Pelodiscus sinensis: one gene and its partners. The protein of the gene in region 3 interacts with the protein of the main gene of each other region in a pairwise test. Links are inferred from orthologs where the notes say so. Each region holds a gene or a part of one and is shown on either strand. Other genes may lie near its edges. The genes, in order: RGS17, SPRY1, HOXA1 and CHIC2.

Region 1 (8,673 bases), on a different chromosome or scaffold from region 3:
AAGGTTTTATTTGTTAGAGAGGGTATCCATTCAGATGAGTTTCTACTATACTGCCTTGTGCTTCATCCATGTTGTTTCTGCAGATAGTTATGTTCAAATGTCCTATGTCCACGGCTGTTGGCAACCTAAGAGTTCCTTTGCAATACTGTGGCTATAGGTTATGATACTCCTAATTCTTCTCAGGTGAAAGATAAATTGAAGGACCCCTACTTGTGACCCTATGGCACGATTGGCAAGCATTTTCCTGAGCAAGTGTGATCAACTCTAGTGTTCCTCATGTATTACCTGCCCACCACCACCTAAGTCCTACTTTCTGGTAGAAGAAGTTCTATCAGAGGGCCTTCACTGTTGTCTTACTTTTTGGTAGAAGAGTTCTATCCACTTTTCAAATAATGCAGATTACACAATGAATCATACTTTAAGGCAATCAGCAACAGAGCTGTGGTCCAATATAGCATGCATGTTGCATTTAGACTACTTGTGGAGAAAAAACCCCCCAAAACAATAAATACTCCCCTGTGATCCAGAGACACAGTGATTCAGGTAACAGGACTAGGATAGAGAATCTTTTAGCGGATTGCCAGATCTAAATTTAGTCTAAGCCATTAGTAACAAAAAGTTATTACTATTGCTCAGTAGACTATTAACTGAGTTGATGATTTCAGGCCAATTTTGTGTATCCATATCTCTCACACACAAATCAAGCCCTCATCACTGCAATTCTTATTTGTAGTCTCAGCTGCAAGACTAAGGATTGGCAAGGTGGAAAACTGAACTGTCTTTGCATCCTAAAGGTGACTTCTGCGTAAGGGCTCAGGCAAAGGGAAAAGGCTTACACTACTTGTGCTATCCTTACTCTGTGGAGAAAGAAAGGAAACTACTAGACTAGCACCTTTAATAAACACAACATTTATTTAATGTACATTTTAAACATTTTCCATTTTGGCCATGGATTTATTGTATCTGCCTTAGATGTGATAAATCAATCTCCAAGAGTGCTCCCATTGATGCTGGTACTTCATCAAGGCAAAGAGAATACCCAGAGTCAACCCGAGGGCAGCTTCCATCAACCTTAGTGCATGCAAGATGCCACAGGGAGTATGTTGACTTCAGCTATGCTATTTGCATAGCTGAAGTAGATCAATGGTGCAGGTAAGTGTAGATATGAGACTATAAAAACTTCAGAGCTGGGACTGGATCTTTCTATATATATGGATGGTGCCCTGCACATTTGAGTGCTGATGAAATTAAAATAAATTATTAGCTATAATATCATCTTAGGATACAATGTTTCTTACAAAGCTTAAACAATGGATCATTCCTATTCATTTACTAATAGGTGCTAATAGATATCATGATGACACTAATTATGTATCCTGTAATGTGGCTGGGCACACTAGCTTCCATTGATATGAATGGGAATTAACTTCCTTTTAAAAAACTTATAGAAATAGGCAGTATGTATGCATTTATTTTGCACAGTTATTATATGTTAACCATAAAACCAATGCAGTTACTAAATGTTTCTTCTTACATTTACCAGCTATTTAAAAAACAATTACATCTATTATTGCATTTGAGAATTCATCCATTTTACCTAACTCTTGATTTAAAAATACTAAATAAGTTTAAAGGTATATCTATCTATCTATCTATATATATAATACTATGCACCTAGGCTGCAAAGTTCTTGACAGGATAGCCGAAATCCTTAGAAATGTGTAAAATAAAAGATCCGCTCAGTACTGGAAACCCCAACTTCTAGTTATGCCTGTTCTAAAACCATGATAATGATGGTATGATGATGGGCACTCTAGAAATAAACTAGATTGACAAGAGTGCTGCTTTTCTTCAGTTTCCAGTGAGTTCATTGTTGATGAGGATAAGAACTCATGGCTTGTGATCCTGAATTTTAAGGGCTGCAGAGCTGCTAAGGAAAACCAAATCCCTCAAAAACAACCTCCACTGGAAACGAACCATTCCTCACAGGGTCTCCCTTGAACTCTCTCCCCTTTGGGCAGCGGCTGCCCTGTGTCACAGAAAGTCCTGGCCAGAGGCTAAGGGCGGTGGGATTCATGTGCTCTCCTTCGCCAAAGCTTTTGGCTTGTGAGCGCCTCTCTGCTGAGCGCTCTCGCTGTTCCTAACTTGGTGCCGGCCGGGAAGGCTCTGCTATTGCTAGCACAGCCGCCGCTCGCTGCCACGAGCCAGCCTCCTACCTCCCGAGCCACATTCTAACCATCTGTAGCCGCCTGCTTTCCCCCATAGGCTCCGTCCTTCCTCCAGCCTCACATGCTCCGACATTTTCACACACACACACACACACGCAGAAAAGCAGGGGGAGAAGAATCCGGCCAAACCCCAGCTCCCGGCTGATGCCGCAGAATAACGAGGGGGGAGGATGGGTGGGTGCCATGAAGGGCTATGGAGAGGGTGTAAAGGGAACCCAGAACTCAGCCTACCGAACGGCAAGGACGGTACCTATGAGCCAGCTCCCCGTTTGCCCTGCACCGAAGCAGCACCTATAGACTGCGCGGGGGCCTCGTCCCTATATCCCCCCCCCCACCACACACACACCCCGGCCAAAAGCTTTGCGATACCACGCACTGTATCGCATGCCCCTGTGCAGGTCTTACGGGGAACCACTTCCATTCCCAAGGAGCCCAGCGGGTGGTTTCTAAAAGGCCAGGGGCTCGGATGGTTTCAAATCAGTACAAATTGCACGGGCGCCTTGCCCTCACGCTCCTGCCCAGACCCGAAGCCGCGATAAGGGAGCCAGAGGAGAGGGGCAAGAGGAAAGGTACGAGCCCCCCACAACACACGCCCAGCCTCCCTTTCGCATCAGCACAAGGACATTTCCCGATATCCCCCCTCCCTTCCCCCAACATGGTAGGAACCCCCCTCCCTCCCCGCCTGGATTGATCAGGATTCCTTGATGCAGCTGATGCACAGCAGCAGCATCGCTCCGGAGCCACAGCCCGGGAGCCGAATACGCGGGGAGTCCGGCGGAGCCCTCGCCAAACCCCGCGCTCCCCCGCTTTGGGGGCATCCCCTGAGGGGAGCGACACTAGCAGGAGGGCCCCCTCCTTGCAGCCGGGCCAGCGCGGCGGCCCCCGCCACACACAGGAGCAGTTGCGCTCCCACTCCCCCGCCCGCCCGCCCGCCTCTCTATTCCATGCACCAGGCTCAAGCAGACATGTTGGTGCCATTCAGCAAGGTTCAGGTTCAGATAATACATAATGCGAATAAAGCCCGCTCTGGCTTACCCACCCCCGCCTGGCTGCGCGTGCTTGGCACTGAGCGATCCCGGGGAGCGGCTCGCGCAGCTGGTCCCTAGCGGAGCTGGTTTGCTGCCATCCGCCCAACTTCAGCACCCAGCCGGCAGGGAGAGAGAGCTGGGGGGGGGGAGCGCGAGAGGGAGGGAGGCAGGGAGCGAGCGCACATGCGCCCTGCTACTCCGCTGGACCGAGCCGCTGGAGTTTCCCCGCTTCTCCCCGGCGTGACTCACCGCCAGTCCCCTGCCTCCGCTTCCTCCCCGGGGAGCTTGCCCGGAGCAGGCTGGCTGGCAAGCAGGGCCCCAGGCAAAGAGCTTGGAGGAGGGAGCGGTCCAGCGGGGGAGCACCGGTGCTATCGGTCCTAGGGCTCTGGGAAGGAGGCTCCAGCCAAATATGGCTGCTTTGGGCAGGGAGAAACGATGGTTTGTTAAATCACCTGGCTCGGGTTTGGAGCGAGCCCAGCTGCCTTCCACTGGGACCTTGGCCATCGCACTTATTCCAGGTGTGCTGTGGATGGGAGGCCGGGGCAGCTTGGGACAGGCGCCTTCTTTTCAAGGTTTGAAAGGGAACGACTGTAAATGACATGTAGCTAAATGCAGGTCCAGGAACTAGCTGGAGTTACCCGGCATTGCTCGGGAAACCGGAGGAAGAAAATGTAGAAAAACAGTAGTCCATTATCTTTCTTTGAATGGTAGAAAAGTTGCAAAGATTTCTATAGGGATTAAAATATAGGTCCGAGTCATCCCTGGGAGGTGGTGCGGCCCCGGGTGGAGGGAAGGTTACACACGAGAGGGGCGCCCCAGCTTGCACCCGGGCCTGCAGGTGTCACATGGGGCAGGGCGGTGCCCGAGCCGTTATGCGCATGGGGGTCGAGGCACTGTGTACCGGGGGGAGGGGGAAGGGTCACTTATGTAACCTCACGGGCAGAAGGGGGCGAGTCCTGGATGGCGCTGGGGGCCGCATCCGGCGGGCACGGGACCTAGAGTGTGAGGGGCGGCCCCTGGTAGCACAGCACAGGGGGTTACTTTTTGATTTTTACAGCTTGAGCTTGGGCCCAATTGGGTCCAAAAGTACCTTAAAACCTTCTCCTGGATAAAGGTTATTCCATGCAAAGTTTGGTTGCGGTAGCTCTTATAGTGTCCAAGTTATTAGTGCACAAACATTCTCCTTTATATATTAGATTCTCAGCCACCTTCTCTCTCATGGGTAAATACAGGATGCTGACAAGCTCTACTTGGATCCTGCTTGCTTCTGTACCTTAGCCTGCAAATTGGACTAGCCAAAAGAGACAAAAGATCTAGCTGCTGAGTGCCTGGTGCACACACAGAAGAAAACACTCAGATCCTGAGGCACTTCCATACAAGTGACACAAAAACCATCTGGATAACTTTGGAATTCCATGCAGTCATGTTCAAATGCCTGGACAGACAACCAGTGTGAGTGCCCCTCACCGAAACACAAATCCAAGACCATGATTCACCTCCTCACAGAACAATGGTGCCAGCATCTGGATTCTGCCAACTTTTTGCCAACTGTTCAAATTTCACTGCTTAAACAGAGAACACATTTAGTCATTCTTATTGTACCTTACAAAATCCATCCCCTGATGTGCCAGGTCAATCTCCCCACAACAGTTCAGGTCTGGCATCTAGGTCCTACAGAATCCTGTCACAAATGCAGAAATTCTAACATCAAAATAGAAAACCAGTGTTCTTTCTACTAACCAACCAAAACAAGCTGGATCCCAATCTATAATGGCATAAGAAAAGTGTAAAGCCTTTAATTTTGCACCTGTATCCTGCTGGTCCAGCTAATTTTTGGTTGCATATCTCTCACCAATACACTTCCTTGTTTAACGTCTATGCAGCTTTTCAAGTGTCCACTAGAATAATCTAGAACCCAAAATATTGTGGTGGAACAGTGTTTCAAATACTGAGTAAAAAACAGGCTAGCTCTTCATAGGGCTAAAATAAAGAAAAGGTAAGCAGCCCAGGAAGATTAGCCCAACAACAGTATAACCATCAATCACTTTTTCTTTTAAAATAAAAAAAATGGACTAACTATAGCCGAACTACAGACTAACTCTACAGCTATACTAATAGGGCTCGTCTACATTGGCCCCTTTTCCGGAAGGGGCATGTTAATTTCAGAGATCGTAATAGGGAAATCCGCGGGGGATTTAAATATCCCCCGCGGCATTTAAATAAAAATGTCCGCCGCTTTTTTCCGGCTTTTAGAAAAGCCGGAAAAGAGCGTCTACACTGGCCCCGATCCTCCGGAAAAAGCGCCCTTTTCCAGAGGATCTTATTCCTACTTCAAAGTATTCAAAGTAGGAATAAGATCCTCCGGAAAAGGGCGCTTTTTCCGGAGGATCGGGGCCAGTGTAGACGCTCTTTTCCGGCTTTTCTAAAAGCCGGAAAAAAGCGGCGGACATTTTTATTTAAATGCCGCGGGGGATATTTAAATCCCCCGCGGATTTCCCTATTACGATCTCTGAAATTAACATGCCCCTTCCGGAAAAGGGGCCAGTGTAGACGTAGCCATAGAGAGGTAGCTGTGTTAGTTTTTCCTTTTGTTTTAGCAAGATCAGACTATGTTGCACTTTAAAGACTAACAAGATGGTTTAATCGGTGATGAGCTTTCGTTGGCCAGACCCACTTCCTCAAATTATCTGAGGAAGTGGGTCTGGCCCATGAAAGCTCGTCACTTATTAAACCATCTTGTTAGTCTTTAAAGTGCTATATAGTTTTTCCTTTTGTTTCTACAGCTATAGTAATCATATGCCCTTGTCCCTGCATTCTGGGAAGAGGCACTTCAAACACCTAATGATGAGAGCTAAAGTCAGTCAGAGCCATGTCAGGGGAAAGCATCATCCCACCCCAATGTTGGGACACAAAAAGAAGAGAGTGATGTATAGCCAGTGCAGCGGGCAGGGTGCTCTATGCTGGCTCTACACCAGTCAAGGCTTTCCCAATCCAAGCTGTTCCTATTAGGTGCTGAACACCTTTAACTCCACTTTCAATGGGAGAAAAGTGCTCAGCATCTGCCAGGAGCAGGCTCTGGGATTCAGTGCAATTAGGCCAAGCACATAGTTCTGCAATCCTTTACATTCCTATCTGTCCTCATATGGCTGTATTTAAATTGATCAAGACCAGAGAGATAGGATAGCTGTACTTTGTAAGGGGTAAAGGGAGTCTGCACTGCAGATTGTCTGCTCATCCATAATGCAGGACCACAGCCTAAAAATGGTTTATGCTTAAACTACTGTCAATCTTTGCCAAGACTGATCAGAATCACTGACAAATTTTAACTTAAGATTGGATGTTTGTCTAAAAGACATGCTTTAGGAATTATTTTGGGGAGGTTCTATGGCTTGTGTTACAAGAGGTCAGACTAAATGTTACTTTCCTGGCCTGGAAAGCTATGAGTTCATGTTTATATCCACAGAAATCAGTAAGACTTAAACGCATGTGATTTCCTGAACTGGAGCCTAAATGAAGTTTGCTGATAAGTTCCTCAGGAGGGGATCCATGCTCTGACAGATATTTTGAAGCTATGAAAGAAAAGTTTCCCACCTGCAAACTTGGTATGGTTATAGGAGGTATGTGTGGTAATAGAATTTATGCCTAGGTCGGCGTGAGGATCGTGCAGAGACAGACCGCACATGGAAAGTCATGGGGGGTCATGTGCCCTCCCCCCTTAATGCTTGGCTTGTATGGAACATGTTCAGTATCACTGCTGAAACCAGCTCCTTGGCTATCAGCAAGCATAGGTTTTCTCAGGGGTAATGGTCAATGGAGGGAAATGGAGGAGGAGTTTTTATTCACACATCTGCAGAGGAAGCTTCTAAATCTTCAAGCTGTACATATGGAAAATCAAAAGTGTTGACAGTTTTGGTGTGACTAAAAGACTTCATCTTTCTACATCTCCTTTTATGCCTCCCACAATCTCTAGCAAATCCACCCATCCATATTTACTCTTGTTCCATGCACACATACCCTCACCTCCTGTGGTTCCTCATCTCCCCTCCTTATGTCCATCTCTTTCATTCACTCTCCTTATATTTCTTTAGATCAGTGTTTTCTCCAGTAACTGAAAGTGTATTTTTTTCAAATTTACAAGATGTCAGATGAAGGGTGAGACTGTGAGGGTGAAGGTGGGCTGTATGTTTTCTAATGTGCACTATTTTGCATGTATCAGTCTTAACTGTGCATATAAAATGATGGGATTTAAATTAGCTGTTACCACCCCAGAAAGAGATCTTGGAGTCATTATGGAGAGTTTTCTGAAAACATCCACTCAATGTGTAATGACAGTCAAAAAAGCTAATGGGGTCTTAAGAACCATTAGAAAAGTGATAGATAAGACAGAAAATATCACAAATCAACTATATAAATCCATAGAATGTTCACATCTTGAATACCGTGTTCAGTCTGGTCACCCCATCCCCCCCAAATATATTATATATTGGAATTGGAAACGATACAGATAAGGGCTACTAAAATTATCAGGGATACGAAACTGGAGAAGAGATTGAAATGACTGGGATTTTTCAGTTTGGAAAAGAGAAAACTAAATGGGGATATGATAGAAGTCTATACAATCCTGACTGGTGTGAAGAAAGTGAATAAGGAAATGTTATTTAATCCATTATGTAACACAAGAACTAGGGGTAACCCAATGAAATTAATAAGTAGCAGGTTTTTTTTAAAAAAAGAAGGAAGTAGTCACATAACATATGGTTTACCCATGGAACTCTTTGCTGGGAATGCTATGAAGGCCAAAGCTATAAAGGCCAAAGCAACTCTGGTCATCTGAAGAAGTGGGCTGTGCACACGAAAGCTCATGATACCATCTACATGTTTTGTTAGTCTATAAAGTGCTACCAGACCATTTGTTGTTTTTTAAGTTTATTCTGTACAGACTAACTCAGCAACCCCCTAAAGCTATAACTGTTAGAAAAGAACTAGATCAGTTCCCAGAGAACAAGTCCATCAATGATTAACAACCAGGATGGGAAAGAATGAAACCCTGTGTTCCAAGTGTCCTACCGTCTATTTGTCAAAAGCTTATACTGGAGGATAGGGGATGGATCACTTGATGATTGCCTGTTCTGTTCATTCCCTCTGAAACACTTGGCATTGGCCAGTGTTGGAAGGCAGGATACCAGGCTAGATGTACCATTGGTCTGACCCAGTATGAAAGTTCTTATGTAAAAATTATTATAACAAAATGTGTAGTACAGAAACTCCCCAAGATAATAACCTTCTCAAGATATCATTGATGTGGGATTAAAACCTTGGCAAATGCATTATAAAAATCTTGGCCTACTAGGAAACATATTAATATAAGTCCCCCAGTGACAAATCTAGTATTTTGGAGCAAAATCACACATAGTCAA
Region 2 (7,573 bases), on a different chromosome or scaffold from region 3:
CACGCAGATTGACGATACACATTGTAATAAAGAGAGACAAAAAAAGCCAGCAGCAAGCCACACAGTTTCTAATGGAAAGAACCAATTACCCCCACTGCGAGTATCAAAATTACTTTTTTTTCCCCCAAAAGTAAAGCGAACAAAAGTCTAAAATACCATTTTTTGATGCCCACGCTCAGAACCATTGCGGATTTTAGCACAATGTACAAGTACGTCTGCGTTTCCTCCAGACCGGGGTTCACCCAACTGCCCCCCCTTTTTTCCTCCTCCCAGCTCAGCTTCCAAAAGGCAGAATCACCACCCGAATGCATTCTGCATTGCTGCGTTTTAACTGGCGCTTGTTTGCTACACAGAAAGGTGCAAGAGAGAGGGGAGGGGGGGAGGAAGCCAAAGATCGCCCCACTACAAGGTACGGCGGTGGAGCTGCGCCCTCTGCAACCCGAGCCGAGCGAAGCGATGAATAAATAGTTGACGGAGAGGAAGGAAGAGGGAAAAGTTATGAATGAAAACAAGGGCTGCCCCCCCCCCCCTTTTGCAGGAGGAGGGGAAGACGGAGGTTACCATTACCTCAGGAGGGCGGTCCTTCCAATACTTAAAGCTGTAGCATCCCCCTTCTCCAGCACGGCACTGGAAGGTCTGGGTGTGCTAGGACGTGCACAGGGGATTTTTCCCCCGGTGGGCTAAGGGCGGGGAAACGAGGGGGGAGGGGGAAAGTCTCTCTCCTTTTATCCCTCTCCACCTCTACAGCCCTGCCAAACCTCAGCCAGCAGCGGAGGAAGGCTCTCCCCTTAGGGGTTACTGAAGGCAGCTTTTAGCAATCTCTGCAAGGAGGAGGAAGGGTTTTGCTAGATGTTTCCACGAAGCATTTCAGAGCCCCCGTCAAAACGTGACCCCCTCACTTCCCTCCTCCCTCATTCATAAAGTGTCACCGCCTGACCGCCCGCAAGAACCTCTTTTCCCGCCCTCCTCCCCACACCTCACGGTCCTTTCCAGCACAGATCCAGAACAACCTCTGGAGAAGGGGGAACTACACAACGGCCTGGCCCCACTCCTCTCCCTGAATCCTTACGGGCAGCTTGGGGCACGGGCACCAGGTTTCCCCCAGACACCACTCAGGAGAGCTACCAGCAGTGCACAGCCCAGGTCTGCCGGGAATCCTAAGCCATTGCTTCTCGCCGTCCCGCCCCTTTGCACACTCAAGCCTGCTCGCTTGGCCAGAGAAGTTCAGAGCCCTCGGATTAAAACATAACCCTGAGCGCCAGTTAAAACACACACACACCAGAAGAACGGGCCCACCCCAGCCTACGCCAGACCTCCGCCACAGCACACGGCTGGCAGCAGCCTGATCTCCCCTTCCCTCAAAAGGGGGAAGGGGGGAAATGCAACGACACCTGCTCACTCCTCCAACTCGACACGTGCAAAAGGCGGCGGCGCTGCAGACCTCACGGAGTTTTACCTCAGCTCAGTAAGAACGGGAGAGGAATTAAGGACTTATCTCCAAGAAGTCACTAGTGGCAAATCCATTTCAAGCCACCCCAGTTAAGATCCACAGAGCAGCGCAAGTGTTAAGAGAAGGCGGGTGGGTTTCGTTTCCCCTTCAGAAGAGACTGTGCCCCGCTTTCTCTCTCTCTCTTTTTTTTTTCCAGCCCCGTTTTGGTTGGAGAGGACAACTCTTCCGGATTTCTGTTTTCTGCAAAGCACACAGTGATCACCAGATCCCATTCACCGAGCGGAGGGAAATGCAGTTCTCCCCTCCTCCCTCCCCGCACCTCTGCTCAAAAGAAACAAACATTCAATGGTTGCGTGCCCCTAACTCACTTGTTCATTGAGCAGGCACAATTCTCTTGGGAGAAGTAAATCACTCGATGGTGGTGGGATTCCCAAGGAAGCCGTCTCTCTGGCTGCAAGTCTCTCTCTTCGGTTATAGGTGACGACAATCAACCCCTTGCTGCAAATGGTTCATTTCAAGCTAGCAGATCAAAATGGCAAGATGCAGGCACAATTGCTGCCCGCAAACGAGCAGAAGCAGCTATAGAGCCACCTGCAGTAGCAGCAACGTGATCCAACAAGATAGAGCAGAGCAAGGCAAGGAATACAAGATTCCTCTTTTCTTCCACCGACTTCCACTTGTATTTCCCCTGGATAGTCACACGAGCCTTCTAAGCTGAACTTGCGTGGTGCAAAACGACGTCCCAGATCCAGCTCTGCTTCACCACATGGTCCTGCTGCAACCCCTCTCCCCTCCGTACAGCCAAAGTGTAACGAGAATGCCTGTCGCAAAATAATAATAATAATAATGAAGAGACGCTTATTTTCAAGCCATATCTACCGTAACTGGAGCAAGTTCTAAAACATGCAAGCGAGAGGCAGCAGAAAGCAATGGCTCTGTCTCAGAGCTCTCTGCAAACTGCCATGTGCTTGCTTGTTGCTGTTGCAGACTGATTGACAGGCTTGGAGCATGTCAGTCAGAAAACTAAAATCTAATGTAACTCTAGACACAAACTTCTTGCAGGAAGTGCTTTTAAAACTCCCTGGCATTTCAAGTGGAGCAAACAACGTTCCAGCACGCAAAAAAAATCTGTTCATTAAGTAAGACCAACAACGCAAGGGAGGCACAATAACTTAATTGCAAATTGTACATTACCAGCAAATTGTAAGTGGCTTTACCTATTTTACTAGAGAATTCACGAGAATACTTTTCAGTCTCTAATTCAGTATAGTGCATATTTAATCATTTCACGCAGTTGACTTGCTGCAGAATTAAACTACAAAACAGAGAGAAATAAAAGTGCACCAGTATTCTTTCTATGAAAGCATTAGCAGTAAACGGCACTGTAATTCACAATACAAATGTTATTTGCATCTGGCAAAGCAACCATTAAGCTAAGACCTGAAAACGAGAATTTAAAGAGACCCCCCCCCTCTTCAGTTCAAGAACAAACATTAAACACCTGATCTGTTCTTAAATGTCTTCCAAAAGGAGAACAAACGCTGCTGATGCTTACCTAATACAAAGATAAAAAACTGCTCCCCAATGCACATGTGAAGAAACTGGAGATAATTCCAACCTAACCAATATAGACAGCAGTTGCTCACTGTTGTCTGCTGCTATCACTTTGCTATTTGCTTTACTGTTGCTGTTACACAGTAATTCCAGCTCCGCACAGCAGCATTTCAGCGCGGAGCCCCCGCCTCCCCCTCAGTCACGCCTCCGATGATGTCAATGTGTCACTCGGAAAAGCTTTCTTGAAATCCTGGAGTGGAGTTCTCTACAACCCGGCAGCCATTTCTTCATTCAGTTGTACGTGCGAATTTCAAGGTTTACTTGCTACCCTGTAAAATGTTTTAACATTGTGGAAAGTAACGTGAGAATGGAATAGATAATAAACGTATGTGCGTGCGAGTCAATGTGTCACGAACTTGATCTTGGTCCTGATCTGGCAAGCACTTACATGGTCTCTCAGAACTAATTAGGAGCATTCATTGTTGAAAGTTAAGCATGTCTTTGAGGCCACAGCCTTGTAATACTGTCAAAAACACACTAGCCTAGGCGCAAAACCTACTCACCCTTCTTTCTGTTCCCCTGCAAAATAATATCCGCATACATTTACAACATGCAAATCTGTTCACTTCTCCCACATTCATCTCTCTTCTTCCTGCCATGGTCCTGAAGACTACTAACCTTTCCACATTCAAAAAAGATTGATTAGTACTGTGATATTGACAAGAATCTAGATGTCTGATAAAGACAAGGTTGAAGGGTCACTGTGAACAGTCTACATAACTTAGAACAATAACTAAAGACATCTTATGTTATCAAATTCTGTATTCTCAAGATGGGACTGATCTCTGCTCTAATCACGTTATTCATATGTTTTACCTCTTACTCTTTGCCTTACCATTCTTTCATTTCTGTCTTGCTTCCTGCAAGCTGTTTCTACTGGCCAGACCTCTGTTATCACACGTAATCCCATTGAAATCAATTCACTTAGCACGGGGACAAGAGGTCCATTCTCACAGACTAGCTTACAGGATCAGACCTTAGTCAATGGATCAATTTAGATGCATACAATTAATCACATGCATAACTGTTTGCAGGATTGGGACCTTTGAATATGAGCTCTCTGAGGCAGTAAGATCATGCCTCCTTTTGTTTATATGGTTCCTAGCATGTTGTGGACTCCATGGGGAGTTTGCCAGGCTGATTTTATCTTGTATCCGTTTTAAGCAAAATCCTGACAGGCACTGAGCATCCAAACTTGCAATGAAGAAAATTTGAGTTATGAGTGCTCAGTATCTATCAAGATTTTCATATAACTAGAGGAATAAAAACAATTGGTTATCAATTTCTACAAATTAGCCCGCAGTAAAATATATGCAACTATTTTATACTTTAGGCCACATTCAGGGATACTTCTGCATCAACACAATAATACAAATTGGCAAAATTGCTGCAAGGAGTTGGTTTTACTCTTCCAGATGGTGGGAGATACAATGTTTTCCTTACTAATTTTGTCATTTTCCATTGGCAAGCACTCCCTCCTCCACACACACAAGTTTTGCAGCAACTATTTAATCTGGTTCCATTAAATGGTTTGTTGTCAAACTGGGAGAATGTATCTACAGGGGTCATGTTACAGTCAGTTCTGGGTTTAATACTATTCAATATTTTTTATTAATAACCTAGATAATGGAGTGAGAGTATGCATCTGAGATTTGCAAACGGTACTAAGATGGGGCGGGCTACAAGCATTTTGGAAAACAAGATTAGGATTTAAAATGAACTTTGTCCACTTATTAAATGCTACCCATTTCCTCCCTGCATGGACACAGTGCACTCAGGCTGGTGTAAAATGCAGTTTTAAAGCCAACGCGCTGACCTAGCAAGTAGAAAACATCCTTGTATTTCAGCTGCACAGACACAGCCTCAGATCTCTAAGGCATTTTACATGAAAGGGTTTTCGTTTGACACCTTTAGAAGTTCTTAAAGCATTGTTAGGAAAGAATCTGATGATCCAATTAATACAGAGAAAGCTCCATATCTATTGACCAAAATAGGCTCAACAAAGAAATAAAAATGGAGAAGTAATGGAGTTTTGACTTTGATGTGGTCAGGATTTTACCGGAGGATTTCAAATCTCATCTCTTCCACTGACGTATTACTTTCTGTATGCTTCACACGGCCCTCCTTATTGAGCAAGACATCAGAAGTCAGGAAAGTATAGGTGAGTTAATGGAGGATCTGAGATGTTTCACAATAGAGCTGGCCAGGAGACTTCATTTCACTTCTGAAAAAAAAATTTGAGGTTTTCCAAAAAATTTAATTCCATATTGGAAGTGAAATTCCAAAATATTTCATTTAGACACACCAATACATTCCCATTGAGGGAATGTTTTAGTATTTCCAAAATGAAAGATTCTCTTTGGGCTCCCAGAAAGTGGCCTTCAGAAGGGCTGGTGAGGTAGGAAGATAGATGGGGAGCAGGCAAGGAATTAAGCAGATTTTCTTCTAAAACTTGCGTGTTCTGTCAGAAGTTTCATCAAAATTATCATATGCCCACAGAACATTTTGATTTGACAGAAAAATGTTCCACCAGAAAATTTCTGACCCGGTCTGATTCACATGTCCCCTTCTTACAGAACTGGGAACTGAGCTATGTTGTTTCATAAAAAATAGGTACATTTTCATATTTGAATATATTCTCCACAAATTAAGACTACTTTTGCATGCCCCATTCTGCTACATATTGGGAGAAACTCAGATTAAGTCAAAAGTCTTTAATTTCATGCTCTAACCCATTTGTTCTACAGGATGATCTTGTCACTGAGAAACTAGAGTAGAACCTATGAAAACTAGATTCTCTCTCTAGCTCTGTTGCATATATTCGTAACAATAAAAAAAAATTCCTTAAATGACATTTTCAAAGGCTTCCACTAATTATAATTATCAGTTATTTCTATAAGGCGTGTTACTGTATCTTCAAGTTATTAAAATATTATAATTGTTTTCAAAAAGTTAACTTTAAACAAAAAGAACAAAGAAACAAACCACAATAGAAATAGTAATTAACACGTTGAACATTATGCCATAATAAGGCATGATGAACGAGGACTCTTATGCTTTTTAGTAGTTTGCTACACATTTCTGAGGTCTCTGGTATATCTTTAATTTTAAAAAGCAGGTCATTTCTATACAGTTATTTTTGTACCTCTCTAAGGAAAAACATATGCCTCCAAAGAAGAAACTGATTAAAACAGTTAAAGTTTCCTAAGGAGTGGATATTCCTCTCAAAACAAGGAAATATCAATTTAAGGTATCTTCTTTTAACATCCCCTAACCAATATACATAATTTTCACCACCTTCACTGATGCACTAAAAATATCTCTCATACAACTTCAACATACCCAGTAAAACAATATACATACTTACTGTAACACTACAATGCAAAACTTTATCTCTGACCATGTGAAACATCATATACTTCATGGATATCCACCCAACATGTCTAATGAACGTTAATGTTTCTGAGGCTGGACTTAATGTGTTACTGTCACTGAAAAGTGATAAATACAATCTTCTAATTCAGTAACAAACAAGGGAGTGAAAAAGTCTTGTCAACACAAAAATAAATGTAATATTGCTAAAAGAAATGAGGAAATATAAACTCTCATCATTATTACCTCTGATTCATTTCAAGCTGAAAAAATAAGTGTTATAAACAAAACACCATTTAAATAAACTGGAAGCTCTTTGGACTTAGAAACTAGTTCCTGGTCCCATTGAAGTCAGTGTGAGTTTTGTTACTGACTTAAATGGGAGGAGAAACATAACCTTTTATATAATCTTTCATCTCCTATCTCAAAAGTGGGTCAGAGCAGCCACACCAATTCGTAAAAGCATTCACTTTTTAAAACAGCATTAGTCTTGATAATAGGATACACTATGCATAGTTTATAATATCAATATTTTAAAAATTATTCTCAGGGCAGGAATTTAGTTTCTCTGGGCCAGTTTCCTTCCCTGAAAAATGGGTAGAATGTTGGCTTCAGATTGTGGATTTAAATACAGGGATTTGCCACATATTGTTACTATATTATTTATTTATTACTAATAGCAAGAGCACTTTTTCCTAATTACAAAAATGAGAGATTGTGGCAGGTAGGGCTTGGCTAAAATTGATGGTGGAGGGTGTAACAAAATAAAGCTATTGTGCAGAGCTGAAGTAAAAAAATCATAAACATTGTGGGGGAGGAGAGGAAACTGAGCACTGAAGTCACAGTGAAGTATTTTAGTGCAAGTGAAGGAAAGTGAAGGATGATGTGAGGTGGAGTTTCCAGTCACACTTTCCAGTAGACAGATTGATCATTATCTGAGATCAAAAAGACAAGTGGCTGGGGATTTCTTCTGTGCAAAGAGCTTTCTTGAAGTTCTGTAAAGAAATGCAGCAACATACAACAACTTGCTGTCAAGGACACGGGGTTGTGGGTACGCACATGGGAAATTCTCAGTTGCAACGTAATCTTGATTTTTCTTCAAGAAGACAGCATTGTTTTTCTTAGAAGCTGAACAGA
Region 3 (7,805 bases):
CACGTGGCCAGATGAACATGTCTGTACTCTGTCCCGCAATACGTTAAATTAAAAGGGGGGGGGGGGGAGGGGAGAGAGAGAGAGAGGTGCGACTTTTCTTTTAATCTGCCAACTGTATTAATCTGAATCGAAGTATTGGGGGAGTTCCTAAAATTTACTTGAAATAACTTGTTTTATGCACCAATCGGTGTAAATGACTGTGCTAGCTGAAAAAAGGCAATCTGTGTGTATCACCTGGAGATGAAGTTCTCTCAGAAATAAGGAGCAAACAAGAATCACCCAACTTTCCGGTTGTGAACATCCTAAAGATGTCACTGGCAATGGGAGAGAGAATGAAGCTGCATTTCTTGGGTCAGCTTTAAACCAGGGCTAATTAAATGTGACTCTCTGAACTATGGGCCTACGATGTGAAGGAAAACTGACTGAAGACAGTTTCTGCTTTTGAAGAGTGCTGTTTATATCTATGTCAGCGTGCAGTTCGAGGTGAAAAGGTTAGCACTTGAACCAGGAAGTTCTAGTATGTGTTTTTCAAAAATAGATCTAGTTCATAAATTCCCTCTGCTGCACTAGAGAGCGGGTGTTTTCTTATATTTCCTAAAAGATAATATTGGTGAAACATTAAAAAAAGGGAATTAGACTTGTGTAATGTGGCAGGGTCGAACAGAGTTCTGACCTCACCTCACGATCAGGAGAAATTATTTTTTATTAAGTCGCATATCAAAGGCCACATCAGTGACAATGAAATGTTGAGCTAAGTATGATCAACAACGGCACGAGAGGAAATAAAAAGGACCCACATCAAGCATACCTGAAACGTGAATATATTTATTACAGACATTTTCGGACCCGTAAATTCTGTTCTGGATTCATCACGCTCAGAATCTCAGAACCTTTAAATGATTGCACAGAAAAATCAGGAAGATGGTTCTGTTCACAAATGACAACTGATAAAACTCAGTGTACCTTAAGTACATCAAAGCACTGTGCATCATGCAGTGTTCCATACACGAATCACATAAAATATACATTCATTTGGCCATTCATCACATTTACGATTTGGTCGAAAAGACATCGAGTCGAGGGTAGGATTAATATGAAAATAGGAGTAGGTCAGGTCTTTTGGATAATATACCCTTAGGTCCAATATAATCCAGCACAGATGGGGGAGTGAACATACCACGCAAGGTTTACAAAACCTAGTGCAATTGAAGCCTTTTTCTTCTATCTCATCAAAAGAAACCGTGCCATTATTTGAGGTATCTGATTGACATTAACAAATCATCTTATATGATCATCAGTTTTAACAATATAAAATTGAATCCAACTTTGAGAATGTACCTACCCTATTTAATCTGATAATCTAAACAGCATTTCTAGAAAATCTGTAAAAAGATAAATCTCTTGGACAAAGTATTTACAACCAGCAAACTCATACACACGAAAAAGAATACATTAAATTAAAGGATGAAGGTACTATAATTCGTGTAAACACTCTCAATAGTGCATCTCTTCATGAGGTTATGTACTCTACATATCCTGTCTTTATGTAAGGAAAAATATAGAAATGTCCTTGATTTTTTTTTCTACTGAGAGAAACTCTTATAACTGTGCCAACAAATCTTCTGCAGCAAATAACAGCGCGAGCTGGAATTTTTAAAAATAGAAATATTGAATAAGTGGTCAACAGAAACCTGATTATGGAAACCACTGTTTAGTTCTGCATAGACTAAACAGCCGGAGAGCCTTCTAAAACTAAATTCTCTGGAAACAAGTGGATTGAAAGTAAAGATGACTGAAAGATTAAAAATACTTTAAATCAATGAAGCTTGCTAAAGATGTGGCTCTAGAGTGAGAGACATAGATCTAATGCAGTGGGGGCCAGAAATATTTCAGTTTGAGGTAGTTAGAGTGTCTGAGGTAGATGAAGCTGGTGATGGGGTGCATGGGGATGAACTGGACTTTTCTGATGATTCTTCTGTTTTTTCTTCACTTCCTGTTGGGGTAGCAGGGGAAATGGGGAGCAGCCCCTCTTTCTCTCTTTTCTTCTGCTTCATTCTACGGTTCTGGAACCAGATCTTCACCTGTGTTTCATTCAGCTGCAGTGAAGCAGCTATCTCCACCCTCCTTGCCCTCGTCAAGTACTTGTTGAAGTGGAATTCTTTCTCCAGTTCTGTGAGCTGCTTGGTGGTAAAATTGGTCCGAACGGTGTTGGGCTGACCTACGTATCCGTACTCTCCAGCTTTCCCTGCAAAAGTACAGTCAGCGTTCAATGAGTGAGGCACAGGCGACATAATCACAGCATGTACACACAGGTAAAACGATATGAAACAAGAACTTCTTACAACGAGAGGAATCCGGGGACAGTGAGTGATGGAGTGTGAGGTGCTAACATAAAGTCGGCCACTAGTGTGTATCAAAGGCAACTTGATAAATTGTTTACGAATTACAAGAAATATTACCACAGAAAACCCCCGCTTGGAACTTCCATTCGATCAGCTGGAGGACCCTGTCCATCCTTAGTGGTCTCAGACCTCCTTACCTGTAAACAACAAGGCACCTGCCCGCTGTAGGTAAGAAGGGTTTGGTCTCGTTTTATTAAAGAAAGTGGAAGAGGAAAGAAACAGCCCCCTGCTCTGAAATCGCGACTAACCTGTTTTAGGCGGGTTTCTTTTAACTTTCATCCAGTCAAAGGTTTGTGCTGGAGGCGAGGTCTCTGCAGAAGGAGAGCGACAAGCTTCTTGGTGGCTGGCATGGAGAGGGGATAAGGAATTGCTATAACTCGCTAGAGGCAGGTTCTGCTGCTCCTGTCCGTATGAGGGGTGCATGTACTGAGCGGGACCCACCGGGGCCCCAGCATAACCTTGGTGAGGGTGGGGATGCTGGACCATGGCAGATGAGAGGTTTCCAGAGTACACGGCGGGGGCGCATTGGGGATACCCTCCACTGACATCTGCTTCCTGATTTAGTGCGTAGGGACTGTAACCCGCGCTGAAGTTCTGGGTGCCATATCCCGTGCCACAGCTAGAGTAGGACATGCCCAGATTGTTGTGAGGCTGGTAGGCACCGGTCTGATGGTGGTGGTGGTGGGGACTTATCTGGACCCCCCTGCCAACCATAAAGCGATCCTCCCCGTTGCAGTGAGTGGCAGTGACCGCACAGGACTGGAAAGTTGTAATCCCATGCTCTGGGGGGTAGGTGCGGGAAGAGCATGCCCCGGGCTCGCCGCCGAGGATGGGGTACTCGAGGAAGGAACTCATCCTCGCCGTGTCCATTTATCACCGAGTGGCCGGGTCTTCAGAGCCCTGGGTGACCGTGCCAACTTTCCCACTTCCTCCATGGGGCCGGGAGGAAAATGATATGAATGTACAGTGAGCTGGGGGCACGTGAGGGCGGCAGCCAATGGCTGAGCCTCCTGCTGCAAGGGCCCTGCTCCGGCTGGTGATGGATCACCCTTTCAGTGGCATTTAAATTCCGAGCGCTCCTCCATCAAGGTGACGCGAAGCCGCCACCACCTCCCTCTCCCCCCCCCCGGCTCCCTCCCCCTGAGCCAGTGCATTGGGGCTTCGGAGCCGGGGCCGGAGAGACAGTGTGCGCCCGGGCGCGCAGCCTGCAGCAGCGGAGGCGCCACTGGAGGGGTTGAAGGGGGGGGGGGGGGGTTGCAGCCTGGATTACAGGGCTCGGAGCCCCAGCTGGAGGCGGCCAGGTAAGAGGCGCTCGCTCGCTTTGGGCGCCCACAGCGGGTCGGGGCCGCTCCCTTCCCAGGGCGCTTGGAGGGGTGGGGGTGTCCAGCGGTCCTCAGCGCCGCTCCAGGGAAGTCCCCTCGGCGATCGGGACAGCCCCCCCCCCCCGTGGTCCTACGGCTGGAGGGTGCATGTGCGGGGCGGGGAAGCGGGCTGTGCAAAGGGGGGCTCCGAGCGGCGTTGCGGGGCTCACACCGCCCGGGGGGGGTATCCCCTTCCGGAGAGCCCCGCGCTCGAGCAGCTAAGAGTTAAAGGGGCTTGTCCCTCCGGGTCCCCGCCGCGCCGCTGTGATTAGCATGGAAATGAGGCGCCTTTGTAATTTAACGCCATTGTGCTGGGGCGCGGGGCCAGCGGAGCGGCCGGAGCGCTGCTGCACCGGCCCCTGGTTGTTAGGGCTCTGCCTAGAGCTCGGTCGGTGTCGGGGCTGGGGAGGGGACGGGGGGCGGAGAGCGGGGAGGAAAGGCAGGAAAATGGATGACGATTGCAAACGTGGAAGCTTTTCCAGGTTCTGCAATCCATCTGCGGGGTCCTGTGCCACACACACACACACACACACACACACACACACACACACACACACGGATGCAATGCGTGAGATCCAGGGACAGGTCCTAACACACCCAAGCACTGGAGGACATGCCCAGGAGTTAGGGGGAGGGGAAAGCAAAGGAGGTGAGGTGCCAGCCACAGCAGTCCCTATTTCCAATTAATCCTCTTTGTCACTTGGTGGCTGCCTACTCCACCATAGAGTAGACAGAGAGTAGAGGGGAAAGGTAACAGATGGCTAAGCCCCTCCCTCCCCCCCCCCCCCCCCCACACCACCACAACCCCCTGGGTGATCTATCTCAAACTTTCTCTTGTTCCAGGCAAGGAAAATTGTACCATTTTATAGAAAAGCGTGGATGGTGTTTGGCATCTGAGTTCACATTCACCTTATCTTTTCACACAGTTCAAGAGCTAGTCAACATGCAGATAGCCATGTAACTTCGGAAATAGTTTTATTCTTATCTTTTTCAGTCTGAAGAACTCTCCGTGTATTTATGCAGATACACTTCAACTTTGGCATGTGTTGCTTTGTCACCGTGCCCGATTGATTGTTGCTTGTATCTTAAAATATAAAAGGCTATTTCCCCCTTTCCTTTCTCCAGCCCTCTCCCTCCACCCACACACACTGAAGTGCAACATCCTCTTCCAAGTGATAAGCTACCAAAAGTTTCCGAGGCTCCTATTCGGGCTACCCATGTGTTCGTTTCACCTCCATAGCCCCCCCTGATATCACCGAATATACGTTCCCCCTCTTAAACTTATCCATAAAAGGTTTGTCTTTCTATTTACATTTTACACACTTGAACAGATTAGAGTCGATTGAAAACATCCAATGTCTTTAAAAGCGGGGGGGGGGGGGTGTCAAAGGGAGGGGTGGCCAGCAAGCCGGTATGGAACAATGGTCCCTCAAACCCTTTTTGGGCTGCAATATTGTCTTATTTAATTCTTGTCAATCCGTTGTGATAAATGCTGTATACACCAGGTGCAGACTCGGGCTGGTGTATCTGTTTACCGAAAAAGAGATGTCTTTTTCCTGGGTCTCTCTCTCTCACACAAACTTTGACGATTAACAAAAGTGTATAATATACCATGCATGTATAATCTATTTATATACACCACTGATGTCATACCATCATATTAATAGAACAGAATTGTTTACTGCAAGAACAGTGAACTTCTCTCCATATTTAAAAACAATGTAGCTGCAAATCTAACAGCAGATAGAATTCCTTTCCCAATATTTACCCGTGGTTTTTGCCAAGTAACAGCTCCTCTGTTACTCTCCTTTGCTTCCTTTAAACGGTTTCCTTCATTTCTGTACCATTGTTTTGAAGAAATCCGTGTCTTTTGTTACATTGTCCTCCTTCAATGCCTCGGATTCTGCTGCCATTACAGTGCCTCCATGCCACATAATGGAAAGGAGGGACACCAGGGATAAAATACCTCTTCTCCCTCCCAAAGAGAAAAGTTGCCCTCAGACACGATGGCATATGCACACAAAATTCAGAGCTATGCTGCTCTTATAAAAGGAAAACCTTTATGCTAGCCCCCAGCCTGCCCCCTTTGTTGCTTCGGCCCATCGGTTTGCAGAAAGTCGAGTTCCTTCCCCAGCAATTCAAAGCTTTGAAGCATTTCTGGCGCCTCGTGCGCATTCTTGGAACATTCCCCAAATAATACTTGTGTGTATATGCCTGTGTGTCTTTCACACACACACACACACGAACTTTAGGGGTAACAATGCGTTTCTTAGAGGAATTCTATCAGCTAGATTTGCAGATATTGAATTTAAATAAATCCCGAGAGAAGTTTGCTGGCCTTTGATTAAACAGCCCGGTCCATTTAAGAAGACGCTATGACATCACGCTGTGTAAAAGTCTTAGCGAAATATCGTAACGCCAATAATTAAAGTCCATTCGAACAGGCGTTAAAATCCTCGAGGAAACTGCCCTGTTCCAAAAGCGAAAGTGCTGAAGCAGGGAGAGAGAGAGAGAGAGAGAGAGAGAAGCTGGGCCGAGGTTTCTGCGGCATCCGCAGCTCAGCCAATCTGTTGTTTTAAACGAGCAATAAAAATGAATTATGACTAAACGCCTCCTAACTTAATGGTTTCAGACGGGGATCCCCGGCTCCGGCAAATACGTAAGAGGATTTTTATTTGTGCATGTGTTCCTGTCATTGATCTCTTTGATGACATTCTCATTCATAGAAAGAGCGTGATTTATGAGTTTAGGAAGAATTGCATCCAGCCCTTCCAGCTATTGCCCACGCATCCCAGCTCCACAGAGTGTTGCGGATCAGAGAAACAACACACCTCAAATGAAATGGAAACAAACTACTCCAGACACATGGATTCATTGACCGCGTTTCAGATATACCCCAGAATATTCAAAATCAAAAGGCGACGCGATCTGTGAGCAGTAAAACTACTTACTAAGCATCTGTTGCTTGATTTTAGCGCAGTATAAAAAGAAACCCGCTCGCCTTCTGAACTGGGTTATTAATATCGATAATATATTCTTACCTAATTAGTTGTAGTTTTTAATGAGCTTCGTTACCGCTGTAATTAAAAAAGTTACACATTTGGGACAGTGAGCCGTTCAAGTGGCTTCATTGCAATTGAAACATGTTCACCATTCGCTTCCAGTTTTAATGACCCACCCTTAGCATCGCAAACCGGTTTTAAAAGAAAGCGACCTCGTTATGAGACCCCGCAGAAAAGCCCGAAAGGAACTGCATTTAGAATTTAAATCCCTCCGAAATGGATTTTCTCGATAATAATTGTTCTTATTTCCTCTCTTTTTTAGGTTTGTTTTCTTGGAATCTTTCAGCACATGGGAGCTAATCCAAGCCGCACTTTGTTAGCCTTTGTATTTTTAAGGACGTGTTTCAGAAAACGACCTGGTGGACATATTTGCGCTGAGTTACAGAAGAATACGGTGTTTAAAATGAGTCTTCCACTCGTGTAACAAGCCAGCTTCTATGGCAGGCACGTTCCCATGTATAATAGATTATATTTTGCCTGTAACAGCCGAAACTGCACATTATGGTTTTTGTCACGAGTTAGAAAATCCAAGACTTGCGTTCACACACATAGACAACCTGTTATATGTACATTAAAAAGAAGAAATCTTGATGTGGAGGGGTTTAGTTATTACCTTTGTTGGTGAGACTCATCGGGTACTTTGAATTGACTTGTGAGAACCTTTGCAATAAAGAAATTGAATGTGATTTTTTTCGCTCTAATAAATCTATCAAATTACCAAAAGGTGAGAGATTGTGACCAGAATGTCTAATGTTATTTCTGAGGATAAATTAGGAGGGGTGGGGGGGAATACCCGTTATGTCTAGAGAGAGAAAGAGAGAAGAAAGCTACTTGTAGCAAACAAGAATTTATTCTACCAAAAATACTTATGACAACGCATCCTAATGTAATACAAAAATAAAAAGAAAGTGAAGATACAATTCTATATGATCACTTTCTTACAGGCCTCATATATTGCTTTCATAGAGGGACCTAGAATG
Region 4 (7,824 bases), on a different chromosome or scaffold from region 3:
AAGCACTAATTCTGAATTTCATGAGTATTCAAACTCAAAAGAAATCCAAACATATTAAAGTATGGAAATATGAAAATAAGGCATGCAAGTATCCTTAACTGTGCTCTGCAGTGATATGGTGGGGAAAAATATGAACGTCCGCTTCTGCAACAATCGTAAGGTGTCTTTAAAAATCAATTCCAGTTAATCTAGAACCACAACACTGAACAGCACTAATTCCCCCGCTGATCCCAGGCTCCATGCTGTGCTGCCGCTTTGAAATGCCAAGTAGAGCGAGCCTGGGGTCAACCTTGGACTCTGTGCAGCATTTTCCCCAAATCCGGGGTCAGCTGGGAACTCCCCAGGTAATCTCGGGCTCCAGTGCGGCATTTCAAAGTGGCAGCGTCACATGGAGCCCAGCAACAGCTGGGGACTCCCCAGCTGACTCCTGGTTCTGCAGAAATGCCACAGGGAGCCCAGGGTCAGTTAGGGAGTCCAGATTTTCTCTGGAGTCTGGATCTTGACTATATTTTGACAAAGAAATTTGGACCTTGACAAATAATAGTTGATTACCTCTGCATTAAACATTTTATTTGGACAGTATTCACCTGCATTCCCTTTGTTATTTTTTTCTAAGATGGTGTGGGGTTTTTTTGTGTGTTTTTTTTTTTTAAAGACTAAGGATTCTTTCACACACAACCCATCTCTCCTTCTGTTGGATAACATTCAAGTAATAATTGGCTTTGACACGTTAATCTATAGTCATAAAAATTACTGATAATATAAATTCAATATTACAACTCCATTGCAAGATCAGAAAGGATATGACAACAGACTATGAAGGAGGAAGTTTTTAACTACAAATATAGTCAGCAACATTTTTAAATTGCACAGAGAGAATAATAAGTATTGCTTTTGCTTGCTAGATCTGTGATAAAATTTTCCAAACCTCCAAAATGCACATTTCTGTAAATCAAGGAAGAAATCTTTGCATGCAAATTCTGTAACAAAAATCTAAGAGAAAAACAGCTTTAACATCCTATCCCAAATACTTTTGAAATTTTCTAGTGTCAAAATACTTATTAAAGGAAACATGATGAAAAGTAGGAATTACAAAAAGTTTCAGTTTCATTAGGAGAGCTGAAAAACTCCAGTAGAAGTGTTCAATCTTCTCCGATGTCATTAAATTTAATAGATGTAATTTGGGGGAAGAGAGGGAAAATAGGTGGCTGAGCGAGGACATTCAGCCTATGTCTACCCAGCAGCTTTATTTCAGAATAACTGACATTATTCCGAAAAAGAATGTGTCTACACTCCAAACCATTATTTGGAAATAATGGCAAGCTGGAGGACTTCTTCCTTCGACTCCTGTAACCCTCATTTTACAAGTAACGGAAGTCCAAGGAAGAGTGGTCTTCCTTCAACTTTCCACTGTATAGACAGTGCCAAAAGCCTAATTAAGCTATTTCGATTTGAGCTAATCAGTTGTGTAGCTTAAGTTGCATAGCTTAATTCGACATTAGCCCTGCTGTGTACCCTCAGAGCATATTTAATACTAGGTGGGATATATAAACCTGAAGACCACCACTCAAAATAACTTTTGTGGAACTCTTTTGGCCATCCAAGAGCTCCGGTACCTGTACTAGAGATGAAAAGAAAAGAGAAAACAATTCACATGAACAGTTGGCAGGACTGGTAGCGTAGAGCCAAATTTCTTCTACAAGCTAGAAGTGTGAAGTCTTTTCCATGATTTCCCACCAGCGGGCTTTGATCTTAGCCCACAAAACCCACAATCAAGAGAGAGAAGAAAAGCATCTTAATTTCCTTTAATTCTAAGCCTTTTAAAATGAGAACAATGAAACTGTTGAAAACTAATGCATAATTACAGTTATAATTTTAATGTAGTATATGATCAGGACTATTTCACATATATCATTGGATGGTGGTAACATCTCAACCTCTAACATCTCTTTCAATGAGCACCAAAGCCCTTATGTAAACTTTAATTTCTCAGCAGAGAGGAAATCAATCTGTCTTTCCACATCAATATTTTCCATGACATTAGCAACACAGTAAAACAGTATTAATGAAAAGTTACCACGGTACTGTTAATATTACCCCCCAGCATCTTGGAGAACTCAACATCAGATGACAATAGGATACAGGTCTTTAACTTCTATGCTACTGTCTCAAATCCAGCTCAGTTCAGTAGTGAATGCATATGAAGAAGCTTCTTACGGCCTATTCTATCTTTTACATTTTTTTAAAAAGTGCCTAAGAGCGTCCACTACCACTGAGCACTTTTTTTTTAAACGAACTCTTAATAGAGCACATAAAACAACTGAGTCTGTTAAGTTACTAGAAATTAAGTACACTTATTTTAGAATCATCACCAGACCCCTCACTTATACCTGTTCAAAAAAACCAAAACCACCCTCAACAACAATACAGTCACCCTTATTACATGCCAAAAGCTAATGATGCTGGGCGTGCTTGTGCTGGTCAGACTGGCTGGCTGCTCTCATTTACTAAGACTTTTGAGAGCACTACAGATCGCTGGAGCTTGATAAAAGGAAGAGGCTAACACCGTGACTAACAAACGCATAAATAACTACAGAACTACAGGTTACGTTCTTGAACTATTTTTCCCCCAACGTCCCACTTCCTGACAGCTCATCGTTGGATTTAATACTCTGCATACCGCTGTTAGTCACGGCCCAGGTCAGTTTTGTTTACTTATCGCCCCAACGGGCGATTTGCCTGTGAAGATTTCTAGCCAAGCGCGCAGAAGTGTTTACAAAATGCAAGAGGCGACGCAGGGGGCACGCCACAGGTGCCCCCACTGTTGGCTACGAAGGAGCGCTGGGAGGAGGGAGAAGCCACACGCCCCCGACTTGCTGGGTTGGGAAGTTCAAAGCCAGAGTCGTAGGCGAGCTCCTTGCAGCGGAGCGGCCGGGTCTCCAGCGGAACCAGCCGCCTGGCCCTTCCCAACCAGCTTGCAGACAGCAGGCACTCCGCTCGCCTCACAACCGCCCGGGGCACCGCCAGGGCCGAGCCAGCTCCCAGAGCAGGGGCTGGACGGGGCACAGCGCTGCCACCCCCCGCGCTGGAGCACCAGCTCGCCGCAGTCTCCCCGCGCCCCGGCCCCATCGCATGGCCGCGGCCTGCCCGCACCGGGCCAGCCCTTTCCCCGGCGCGGCCCTTACACGGTGACATGGCCAGAGCCGCGCACCACCACCGGGTCGGGTGAATACTTCAGCAGCTGCTCCTCCAGCGCCCGCTCCTCGTCCTCCTCCTCCTCGTAGATCTCGTCGAAATCCGCCATGGCCGGGCCGCGCGCTGTGTCCGGTACGGGGCGGCCGGGCTACCCCGGCGAGGCTGAGCCGGCGTCGCTGCGACTCAGGGGCAGGAAGCGCCCGTCGCTATCCGGGGAGGAGGAGGCACAACAACATCCGGGCCGGGCCGTGGCGCCGCCCCCAGCGCGGGAGCCACAGCAACAGCGCCGCCCAGGCCTCGCGAGAGCTTATGGGGGCGGGCTCCTGCGGCGCGCGGCCCGCGGCTCGGAGGCGAGCGCGGGTGTCCGTCCTGGGGTGGTGCCGCGCGGGCGGTGGTTTGACGGCGCCAGGCCTGGGTGGGCAAATGGTGCTCAGTGGGGGGAGGGAATTACTGCCGGGGCTTGGCCAGGCCACTTTGGGGATCCCGCCCCCTTTCCGCCTCTCCAGTTACAGCGGGGGAGGGCTAGGTTGGACATTAGGGAAATTATGTCACTAGGAGGGGGAAGCACTGGGATGGGTTACCTGGGGGGGGTGGAGTCTCCATCCATAGAGGTGTTTAATTCCGCGTTTGACAAAGCTCTGGCCGGTATGATTTTGTTGGGATTGGTCCTGCCTTGGGCAGGGGGCTGGACTTGGTATCCTCCTGAGGTCTCGTCCAGCCCTAGGATTCTTCTCCCCCACCCCAGGTTCTGCCCTCCCCTGGCTAGAGCTGGCCTGAGCCACCTCTCCTATTTCCCCCACCCCCACAGAGAGCCTGAACCATTCTTCTCCTCCAGAAAAAGGGGAGGTGCTGAGCTATACACTCCCCCCCCTTACACCTGCCCATGCTCCTCACTACCCCCTAGAGCTGGGACTAGCAGCCAGGTCCCCCCCCCCCAGCCTGGCAGCTGGGTGGAAACCTATGTGTGGGGCCCAGTGACAGAGCTCCCAGGTATGGACCCAGCAGTTAGGAGTGGGACCTGGGCCAGCAGTGGGCCCAGCAGCTATGATCCCAGATGGCAGGGTCATGGGGCTAGTGGCCAGGATCCTGGGTTACAGGGGTGCAGGACCAGGATGCCAAAAACCTAGGAGTACTCCAGTATCCTGTGCCCCATGGACATGGCTGGAAGTGGGACCAGAGGTGCAGCTGGAGCGTGGCCAGGAATAGAACCATAGGATAGGCTGGGATAAGGCCAGAGTGTGGCTAGGTGGTGCTCCTTCCCATGACTGGGACCCTGCAATGCACTCCCAAACATTCTGTGTCAAAAAATGAAAATAATTAGCAGATGAAGTGGGAGAGCCTGAGGTTTTACTTGAGGGAAGTCAAAAGTTTTGCACTGAGATTTTGTATGTAATCAACCAGGTATTCGCTTGTCTGTATGACAGGATACACGTGAGTTGTTGAATCACCAACTTGGAGTACTAGTTGAAAACAACTTGGTAGATATATCTGATATTCACAAGCATGCCACAGAACTTGCTGCAGTTTACCCTGATGATTTAGAAAAAAATTAATAATAAATTTATATGAATCAAATTCTTTGTACAGGATGAGCCTGATAAATCTCCAGCCCATTTCCTGCAAGTGTTAAAGCAAAGCTTGACATTGCTTAACATGTGGGGGGGATTAAGCACCATTTTTAATGAAAAATGGTCAAATCTGTATCCTTCGTTTTCTTCTTTATGAGGTACGAAAAGATTTACCTGGCATTTCTCAGGTTTTTAACTCAATTAATTGGGGGGCCATTTAAATCATTGCTCTGGGGTGGGACTGGGGATAAGGGGGTCAGTATGCAGGCTACCCCCAGGGAGAGAGGACTACCCCAGCTCTCTCTCACTACAGCAGTTTGGGGCCAGGTGAAAAGTGCCTCTCTATGGCTACTGTTGCTTCAAGTGGGCACAGCTAGGGGAAGGGGTATATGTCCCCTGACTGAGGTAGATCCAGGTTCCTCTGTACTCGTCAGCCAGAGTGAGGAATACAGGAAACTGTACACTTTCCCCTTACTCCCTGACAAAGGGGAACAGCCAGCAATGTTCCCATACAAATGGGGGGGGACACCCCTCAACCCTCTCACCCTCCCTCAAGAGTATCAAGTGTTTTGTCTTCACTGTTTTTGCTGGAGTTCTTATTGGAGGAGCAGATAAATATTTTCTTCAAACTTTTTAATCAGGTGTTTGAATTAAATAGTTTATTTTTAAAAAAGCAAATAATATGCAATTTGCAAGATATTTCATTGTCACTTCAGGTTTCTCTTTCTTGTTACTAGTGATAATGTAATTCTGTTAGTTCTTCAGTAATGCATAGTGTCTTCCAGGAAGTATACAAGTGAAAAAAAACCTTGCATTTATAATGTGCTTTAACTCCTTCCCCCAAAATATAATTTGTACACTTGCCCCATACCCTAGAACTTTTAGGACTTACACATTTCTTGTTTTGTTTTTTAAAAATCTTTTGTTTTTCCTTTGCACCTTTAACATTTGTCAAAACTGGAAGTTAATGTAAAGAGTTCAAAATTCCAGCAATATAGTAAGACCTTTAGTAACAGAATGTTGGCTGTTGTGGCAACAAATCATAGTCAGTGTGGGACTTAGTGGCAACAGGATGGCATTTTAGAAAGGAAAAATTATCTTTTGGTTTGAACAGACTAAGCCAATGGATATGAAGTATGCAGGAACATTTAGATCCTGTGTTTTGATAGGCTGATGATGGGTTTACAACCTTTGTGTAATAGACTGCCGTGGAAGGACGAATTGACTGAGAATACTGATTGCCAATTTGCCACTTGTATTTCACTGAAATGGATTTCACCTACTATTTTCAACAGGTATTTGTGATAGTCACTGAGGGTACGTCTATACTAGCCCCCTAGTTCGAACTTGAGAGGCTAATAAGGGCGACCGAAATTGCAAATGAAGCGTGGGATTTAAATATCCCGCGCTTCATTAGCATGTTTCCGGGCGGTTGCCATTTAGAAATTTACTAACCGGGAGTAACTGCCCGCGTCTACACGCGGCAGTGAAACAGGAGCTCAAAGTAACCCCTTAACTCAAATTAGCTGTTACTCCTCCTGGAATGAGGTTTAACAGCTAATTTGACGTAAGGGGTTACTTTGAACTCCCGTTTCACTGCCACGTGTAGATGCGGGCAGTTATTCCATGCTAGTCAATTTCCAAAATGGCGACCGCCCGAGAACATGCTAATGAAGTGTGGGATATTTAAATCCCGCGCTTCATTTGCAATTTCGGTCGCCCTCATTAGCCTCCCTAGTTCGAACTAGGGTGCTAGTGTAGACATACCCTGATAGAAATGTTCTTTATGTGTTGACTGTTGTCCAAAGGATACACTGAGGTGAGACATGAGTTCTATTATAATAGCTGATCATATTGTTGTGATGGGGGGTTGAGTGAAACCTTGTTGAAGTGGTGGGTGTAACATAGCTGCTTTTCATTCAGGTTAAATACAAAAAGTGATTAAGCTTCTTTTACAGAATACATAGCTATGTGTGTGTGTTTGGGGGGGGGGGGGGAGTTTACTGGCCATAACATGCAAAGCCAGCTAGGAATCTAAGGATCAGTCTACATTTAAAAGTTAGTTTGAAATAGGTACATTGGTTAGTAGTGTGTGTGTGTGGGGGGGGGGAATATAACTTCATTTCTGGCATTTCCTAACTTGACTGCTTGACTTTACAAAAGTAACAATGTTCTTTTAACATAGTTTTTGTATAATTTCTTTCATTTAAATAAAATTAAAAACCAGAACTTCTGTCATGTGGCACCATGCTGATACCCATATAGTTCACCAGCTGATTTGAAACCTAGAAATCCACTTTGCGTACTCTCCCACTTGAACTAACGGAGTAATTCATAACAATAGCAAGTTGATATCCTCTGTCTGGACTAGTACTAAAAGGGATTGTGACACACCCTTTGCTAGTGGGTTTCACAGATATTTGGTGGTGGAGGAATGATAAGAATGAGCTTTCCATTTCAACCTCTGGAGGGGAGTGCGTCCTTCTGGACAAAGGTTCGTCTGCCCATTCCTCACAGGCTTGACCCCTTTTGTATTGTCCTCTCCATCCTGTCCCCGTCTTCTGTCTTTTCCCCACCGTGACTCCTTATCTCAGTCTCCTTCTTCTTGCCTACTCAGTCCTAGTCTCCTCTTACTAGAATTCTCATCCTAATCTCCTTTTCCAACTAATCCCAGTAAACATATTGGACTCATGTTCAGTGAGAACAGAATTGTGGAAATTTTCTTTGCTAAACTAAGAATTTTTGGTTGAACATGCAAGCTGTGATTTTTTTCAAAGACTTACAGCTTGGCAAATTTTGGATGAATTTTCCTGGTGTATGTAAAAAGGCACCTCCCAGACAAAGTGTTTTGTCCACAATCAAATTTCAAGTCTCTACTCTAAAGCACAAGCAAAGGAAGGGTTAATGTTAATGTTAAAATTTATTTTTCCTTGCCTCTTTCTTGGAAAAGGGCTAACCTTTTTGACAAACTTCAAAATAATTGTCAGTGGCAGATTCTTGTCATAGAAAATTTTAGTCCAGACTCTTAAAATGTGGCAAAGTTTTAGACAACTGAAAACAG

The links.
Region 1: the proteins of HOXA1 (region 3) and RGS17 interact in binary tests that used the Homo sapiens proteins (3 or more experiments, as listed by UniProt). The two-hybrid records come from large-scale screens. The link is inferred for Pelodiscus sinensis from reciprocal best matches to the Homo sapiens genes HOXA1 and RGS17.
Region 2: the proteins of HOXA1 (region 3) and SPRY1 interact in binary tests that used the Homo sapiens proteins (3 or more experiments, as listed by UniProt). The two-hybrid records come from large-scale screens. The link is inferred for Pelodiscus sinensis from reciprocal best matches to the Homo sapiens genes HOXA1 and SPRY1.
Region 4: the proteins of HOXA1 (region 3) and CHIC2 interact in binary tests that used the Homo sapiens proteins (3 or more experiments, as listed by UniProt). The two-hybrid records come from large-scale screens. The link is inferred for Pelodiscus sinensis from reciprocal best matches to the Homo sapiens genes HOXA1 and CHIC2.

The regions. Positions count from the first base shown.
Region 1 is NC_134713.1:109,023,654-109,032,326, forward strand, and holds the start of RGS17 (regulator of G-protein signaling 17), read right to left. Parts: upstream 3,394-8,673; 5' UTR 3,268-3,393; intron 1-3,267. UniProt on the Homo sapiens protein: Regulates G protein-coupled receptor signaling cascades, including signaling via muscarinic acetylcholine receptor CHRM2 and dopamine receptor DRD2.
Region 2 is NC_134715.1:38,167,456-38,175,028, reverse strand, and holds the start of SPRY1 (protein sprouty homolog 1), read right to left. Parts: upstream 3,164-7,573; 5' UTR 3,006-3,163; intron 2,948-3,005; exon of another isoform or gene 2,668-2,947; intron 2,272-2,667; 5' UTR 1,819-2,271; intron 1,813-1,818; exon of another isoform or gene 1,457-1,812; intron 1,451-1,456; exon of another isoform or gene 568-1,450; intron 541-567; exon of another isoform or gene 157-540; intron 1-156. UniProt on the Homo sapiens protein: Inhibits fibroblast growth factor (FGF)-induced retinal lens fiber differentiation, probably by inhibiting FGF-mediated phosphorylation of ERK1/2. Inhibits TGFB-induced epithelial-to-mesenchymal transition in lens epithelial cells.
Region 3 is NC_134712.1:196,637,662-196,645,466, reverse strand, and holds HOXA1 (homeobox protein Hox-A1), read right to left. Parts: upstream 3,321-7,805; 5' UTR 3,273-3,320; coding exon 2,651-3,272; intron 2,246-2,650; coding exon 1,890-2,245; 3' UTR 706-1,889; downstream 1-705. UniProt on the Homo sapiens protein: Sequence-specific transcription factor. Regulates multiple developmental processes including brainstem, inner and outer ear, abducens nerve and cardiovascular development and morphogenesis as well as cognition and behavior.
Region 4 is NC_134715.1:85,602,978-85,610,801, reverse strand, and holds the start of CHIC2 (cysteine-rich hydrophobic domain-containing protein 2), read right to left. Parts: upstream 3,485-7,824; 5' UTR 3,305-3,484; coding exon 3,186-3,304; intron 1-3,185.